2 linked regions of the Saccharomyces cerevisiae S288C genome follow. The protein of the gene in region 1 purifies or fractionates together with the protein of each later gene. This does not show direct contact. Each region holds a gene or a part of one and is shown on either strand. Other genes may lie near its edges.

Region 1 (3,644 bases):
TTGCCAATATATATTTGAGCAAAATCAGTTAAGATAAACGCTCGTCTTATTGACGTACCAAAAAAGTATCCAAATGAAATTTTTCGTATTGTGGAATGGCGCAGCATCAATATCCATGACATGAGAATACTAGCGATTTTCTGAATTGATATAATAAAAAGCATAAAGCCTAATAATAGTTTAGACACATCCCTTATTTGAGACCACGGTAACATAGACATTGTAGATTTTTTTTCTTGCAATAAACAGGATACTCCAGCTACTAGATATTATGGATGACAAGCCTACTCGAGAAATTGATCAGCAAAACTAAATTGAATGCTTAGCTTTTAAATGTAAGCCTTTTCGTGGGAAAAAGTGTATGATTTAGTTTTCAAAGAAGTACCTTCTATAATGGTAAATTATTGGTTGTGCTCTTGAATATAATGCATGTGTATGCCCTTGAAGTTTTTAATACAAAGCCACTAGTGCAAACAAATCAACAAATCTATTTACCCTTAATGTTCCTCTTTATCAATCATACAGCCTTGCAGATGGATGGTAAGTGATGGACTATAGAACACCTCAGAGATATTTTACGTAGATGTGCGGGATTAAGGGTTCTGAATTCTCCTGCCCGAGGCGCCCAAATTTTTCATTTTCGGATTGCAAAATGATGCCATTCGCTGACAGCCAGTTTTGTATTCATTGAATAAGAATAATGGCAAATTCAGAGAGACAATTCCAGCGATATATCCCGCTTTCCTTCCTTTTTTCTTCCGCAATCAGTTAACTGAATGAAACAATAATGTACTATAAAGGTGTTTGATGAGATCCTTGTCATTGTCGGCATCCAGGTAAATTCCATTAGTAACTGCATCTTTACTCACGATAGCTTCTAGAGTTGGCTCGTGGAGATAACCAAGGTTAAAGACAGACTGTGTAATTGGTAGCCCTTTACCATGACTAACTACTTGTATTTCAATCGGGGGTGTTTTTCTCTTGTCACAAATGAGTAAAACACGATTTATCGAAGAAGGTCCAACATTCGGTATCACTGAAAGTCTTGCTTTTATAAATGCGTGCAAGTTAGCATTGTATTCCGTTATAAATGTAGAGGAATCAACTTCTAGGCTCTTTGGAGTTGATGTTTGCAATACCGAGATTGGGAACCATGACGTCGCAGCCGCCAAGTTGTCTTGTACAATGGAGGCTGAATTCAATACGTACGAGCTTTTGTATGATTTGGAATAATCTAGTGTAGGTACCAGTTTTAGTTTATCTTTATCAGCATGCTGATCTTTGCCAGTTGATGGTACCACTTTCAATGGAATTAGTAATTCTCTACACGATTTTAATTTTGAGATTTTTTCTGCTCTCATTGGAGAAGCTAAAAGCCTACCATATAAGTTATTTTTTAAATTGAAATTTTCCAAATGGAACTGCCCCACCATTTCCTCTTCATCTTTGAAATAGAGCTTCTTGCGCTTATCCGACCATTTCTCGAAGTTTGTAATGAGCGGAGAAACATCTTTGACTCGTTGGGCACAGTTTTTATTAATGACTCTCGTTGGACAATCTATGAGTAACTTCTTATATGCCGATTTAGGTAAACCCATATTTGATTTTGAGAGGTTCCCAGGAGAATTCACAACAAAATATTATTCGAAGGCTCCTATCGTCATCATGTACCGTGGCGCATTGCCAACCTGTCTTATAGAAAGGCCGATGTCGTAAGCGGACCGGAAAACTGGAGATGAACAGGCATTGCCAATCCTACCGCCACTGTAAAAAACAAGTAAGAAAAAGATAATTATGGACGCTGGCTTTCATTTTAAAATAACATCAAGTTCAGATGATACTTCTGAAAAATACCCAATCAGGAATCTATTTTTATTTGGTAGAAGACTACTTTGTTTACTTATAAAAACATGATAACTATCTAAGAATATATGAACTGATTGCGTTTAACTTAACTTTTCCATTTTGTCTTAATCTTCTTCGTTTCCGGTAGTTAATGGGTTTGTATTTTCAGCAGGAACATGACCCAGGACTTTCTTGTTGCTTATTACACTTATCAAGGAACCAAATGACATGCTCTTCATCTGTGCAGTCTTATTGGACAGGTTTTCATAGTGTCACTTACTTGACGCGGATGTAGCAGGTACAGTATTAGTACTTCCCTCCTTGCGCGAGTGAAGAGACTTATCATTCGATACAGTAGATGTTAGTGGGACGTTTTCCGCACTATATGTCTTTTTCAAACTGCTATAAGGAGCTTCAACACCTTTAGATGTAAGCGGTTCCTTCAACGTTAGACGTGATTGTGAGGCGCCCTTCTCATTGCCGTAGATCAATCGTGAGTCATTACCTTCTTTCCTTGGACCACATTGATGGGGAATATGACAAGCTGAACTTTTGCGAGAGCCACTGCAGTTTTGAGTTCTGTTTTCCTCGAACAATGGAGACTCCATCTCAAAAGGTGAAAGATCTGACCCTCGTCTTGCTTCCGAATTGCAATTCAATGGTATTCCAAAATATCCGTTTGCATTACCATCCAATGCTAGACAACTGGGTGAAACACCTGGTAAGTTCATTAATGGCGAAGGATAAAAATCAACCCGTTGGTTGTGAATGGATGCAACACTGGAGGCACGAGACGATTTATGACTACTATCTGAATACGCGCTTGCCGGAATAATGGCTTCATCCCCATGATTACTAACAGCTATTTGAGGTACCTCTCCGGGAGCCGATGCTTTTCGCGAAGAGGATGCCATTAAGTTATCTGCTGACCGGTTGTAAAGCATACCTTCCCCAGTATAAGGTGAATAAGGCGATTTGCAAGGGGTTCTAATTGTGTAACTCATACCATTTTGTGGAGCACTGTTTTTCGTTTCTCCCACTATGGCCAGATTACCATTTTCATCAATGGCTGGTGTATTGACTTTTGACCTGTATACGGAATTCATAGCGCCTGCATTCATATTTGCGCTTTTTGGGATGTCTATATAACGAGGACGATTTGCCCTCTTCCTAGTGTTTAACGTGGTAACAGAGGAAGATGGCGTTACTTTTTCAGAAAGGTTAACAAAACTGTCTACTGGAGTGATATATGTACTGTTTTTGGACCTTTGAGAGCTCTTTCCATTATTATGGTTTCTACTTTTCAGAATCTTTTCTTCAATGAAGTTCGACCTCTCCTGAGTAGAATTGAAACTTGTAAGCGCTTTTATGTCCTGAACCCATTTCTTGAAATTTTTTGATTCCTCTGGAGTTGGTTCAAGACTTGCGGAAAATATTTTAAACGTCCATTCAACGCGCTTCTCGCAAATTGACTTCTTATTGATGTTAGCTTCTTCTTTAGCCTTTTTTTGTTCCTTGGGCACGGAAGAACTCTTTAGAAATTTCGGAACGGACACCATCGAGAGAGCTGAAGGCGTACGTTGATGTTTGCCCTTATTTGAAGCAAGCGTCTTTGTTGGACATGCCAAATCTGAGGTCGTGCTTGATTCTTTTGTACATGTGTCCTCTGGTGAATGATAACTAGCATACCCTTGTAAAACAAAAGTTGAGTCAGTACTATCCTTTAATGAGCAATCATTTAAAGACAAACTAGAGATAGGATATAGATTCGAAGAACTCAAACCCTTTCTTCTCTTCGT
Region 2 (3,313 bases), on another chromosome or scaffold:
TACTATCCAATTATTTGGAAACACAAAAGACGAAAATAATATTTAAAAAAATAATTAAAAAATTTGTTCTAGGGTCTGCCTCCAGCAAGAGTAACACCAGTAATAGCAATACCAATGGCAATTTCAGATCAATGAATAATGCCAAAAGTCGTACGACCATCGATAATACCAGCCAATCAGGAGCCTCACCACAACGCCACAAAATGCCTGTTATAACGACGGTAGGAGGAGCCCAAGCCATCAAAGGATATATACCAAACACTTATTACAACGGATATGGGTATGGATACGGATATACATACGAGTACGATTATAATTATGCCAACTCTAATAAAGCTCAAACCAATAATAGGCATAAATATCAAAATGGCAGAAAATGAGAAGGAAAAAAGTTCAGTAGTATTGTAACGTTCTACGCACCTTTTCAATGGATATGCACACCACAAAATATGTCATTGCGCATATCCGCATCTATTACAGTATTTGATTGATATTTTACCATACATACTAAAAAGCTCCGCTCCGCTCCTCTTTTACGATAATGATCTTTATAACCTTGTACCTAATGTCTCATTGAGATATATCAATGTTGTATCGAAATCACTAAATACTTTGAAAAGCGGAATCTTTTTCTTTTCGGTTTTATTTAGCTTAGTTAGCGGACTAGAAGTAGTTTTCAAATGAGAGAATTTGACGTCAAGCTCATCATGGCCTATTCCTCTATGCAAAATCGATCTGTACTTTTCATATTGCATTGTTAAAAGGTTCTTTAAAATTTGCCTGCAATATGTGTTGTCCCTTGCAATATCCCACTTTTGAACTTTTGTTTCGGGCAAGTATGAACAGCTCTTCAGAACAAATTCCAAGGTTCTTTGCATCTCAGTCACGGGGAGTATCCTTTCACAACATTTCGTGTTGCTGAGAAGCTCAAGATTGATTTTCGACCTCAAGCCATCAGGATTGAATACCAAGTATCGTTTGAGTTCGTAGTTTTCTTTCATAAACTTATATCGAACATAATCCCTGTAAGTATCTTTAACCATTTTCACATTCGATATGAAAGGCTTAAGCCTCATAAATCGGCGGTAAAATAGCTTAACAACTGTACTTCTCTCAGGTGAGTCTGCATCTAGCTTTTGAAAACGTGAAGGAAGTTGGTATTTAGAATGCGATTTAATAAGAGTATAGTCTGGAGTTATAATAGCTTTTGCTGTTGTTATCGTAATAGAAGGCTTACGCATTGTGTTATCCGCTTAACTGCGATTAACATGCATACGTATGATATACTCGAGCTAGTCTCATAAGCTTTCTTCATATATGGTTGTCATGGCAAACTTCGATGTTCGTCGATAGTGACAGGTTCCAAAATTTTTCATTCAGCTCATCGCATATTTTGGAAATTCAAACAATGATTAACAACCGATGTGTGAATTAATCTGCGAGTCAGTTAGAATAAAAGATCATTAGGGCCGATAATAGCTACGTGGTGGGAAGGCTGGAATAATGGTTAAAGTAAAGTCGAAAAAGAACTCATTAACAAGTTCTCTAGATAACAAGATCGTCGATCTTATCTATCGTCTCTTGGAAGAAAAAACTTTGGACAGAAAAAGGTCTCTGAGACAAGAATCCCAAGGAGAAGAGGGCGAGAACAACGAGGGTGAAGAAGATGAGGATATATTTGAATCCATGTTTTTCGCTAAAGATTTAACAGCAGGTGAGATTTTTACCTTTTGTTTGACTAAAGATTTATCACTTCAAAGAGTTAAGAAAGTTGTCTTACAAAAGACAATTGACCGCATGCTAAAAGACGTGATTGAATCAGAATTGGAAGAATTTGGTTCTTACCCAGGTTACAACAACGAAGAGGAAGAGAAACCAAGCTTGGAAGAAGAACTAGCTAAGAAAAATATGATGATTGAGCGAGACACAAATGAGATGAACAAACGCATAACTAGCACGTGGTCCAAATCTGGATCTGTTTCCGAGTCTATAACAGAAACTGATGATCCTAAGACAGAAGAGGTTAAAAAATCTAAAAAAAGATCCAAAGAAGGTACATGTAAGGTAAAACGTCAAAAAATCAAGGAAGATAGATCTCCACCTAATTCGTCTCTGAAATCCTTAGGTGGTATGGATGATGTCGTTGCACAACTTATGGAACTAATAGGTCTACCCATTCTTCATCCAGAGATATTTTTATCCACGGGTGTCGAACCACCTAGAGGTGTTCTGTTGCATGGCCCACCGGGTTGCGGTAAGACGTCGATTGCTAATGCGTTAGCTGGAGAATTACAAGTCCCATTTATATCTATTTCTGCACCTTCAGTCGTAAGTGGTATGTCTGGGGAAAGCGAGAAAAAGATTAGGGATTTGTTTGATGAAGCGAGAAGCTTGGCACCATGTCTTGTTTTCTTTGATGAAATAGATGCCATTACACCAAAACGTGATGGAGGAGCCCAAAGAGAAATGGAGAGAAGAATAGTTGCCCAATTATTGACCTCAATGGATGAATTAACGATGGAAAAGACAAATGGAAAACCTGTTATTATCATAGGTGCCACGAATAGACCTGACTCTTTGGATGCAGCATTGAGAAGAGCAGGTAGATTCGATAGAGAAATATGCCTGAATGTCCCGAATGAAGTCTCAAGGTTACATATTTTAAAGAAAATGTCTGATAACCTAAAAATTGATGGTGCTATCGATTTTGCCAAATTGGCAAAATTAACCCCAGGCTTTGTTGGCGCTGATTTAAAGGCTTTAGTTACTGCTGCCGGTACATGCGCTATTAAAAGAATTTTCCAAACCTATGCTAATATAAAATCCACACCAACTACGGCAACGGACAGTTCAGAAGATAACATGGAAATTGATGAAACAGCAAACGGAGATGAATCTAGCCTGAAGAACACTGCGAATATGATCGATCCGTTGCCTTTATCCGTAGTCCAACAATTTATTCGTAATTATCCTGAGCCTTTATCAGGAGAGCAGTTATCATTATTATCGATTAAGTACGAAGATTTTTTGAAAGCGTTGCCAACAATTCAACCAACAGCAAAGAGAGAAGGGTTCGCTACGGTACCTGATGTTACTTGGGCTAATGTAGGCGCATTGCAAAGAGTTAGACTTGAATTAAATATGGCTATTGTGCAACCCATCAAGAGACCAGAGCTTTATGAAAAAGTGGGAATTAGCGCCCCTGGTGGTGTTTTATTGTGGGGACCACCAGGTTGTGGTAAAACGTTACTAGCAAAAGCTGTTGCCAATGAATCTCGTGCAAATTTCATATCAATCAAAGGTCCTGAATTAT

What was found.
Region 2: the proteins of RRG8 (region 1) and IRC19 purify together in Saccharomyces cerevisiae (affinity purification with mass spectrometry, with the first as the bait; 2 studies listed by BioGRID). This does not show direct contact.

Annotation. Positions count from the first base shown.
Region 1 is NC_001148.4:756,602-760,245, reverse strand, and holds RRG8 (Rrg8p), read right to left. Parts: upstream 1,599-3,644; coding exon 765-1,598; downstream 1-764. Other genes in the region: HOB2 (Hob2p), read right to left, coding at 1-221; RGC1 (Rgc1p), read right to left, coding at 2,118-3,644. UniProt on the Saccharomyces cerevisiae protein: Required for respiratory activity and maintenance and expression of the mitochondrial genome.
Region 2 is NC_001144.5:71,337-74,649, reverse strand, and holds IRC19 (Irc19p), read right to left. Parts: upstream 1,242-3,313; coding exon 549-1,241; downstream 1-548. Other genes in the region: YLL032C (uncharacterized protein), read left to right, coding at 1-380; putative AAA family ATPase RIX7, read left to right, coding at 1,504-3,313. UniProt on the Saccharomyces cerevisiae protein: Involved in sporulation and maintenance of the mitochondrial DNA. Is probably involved in a pathway contributing to genomic integrity.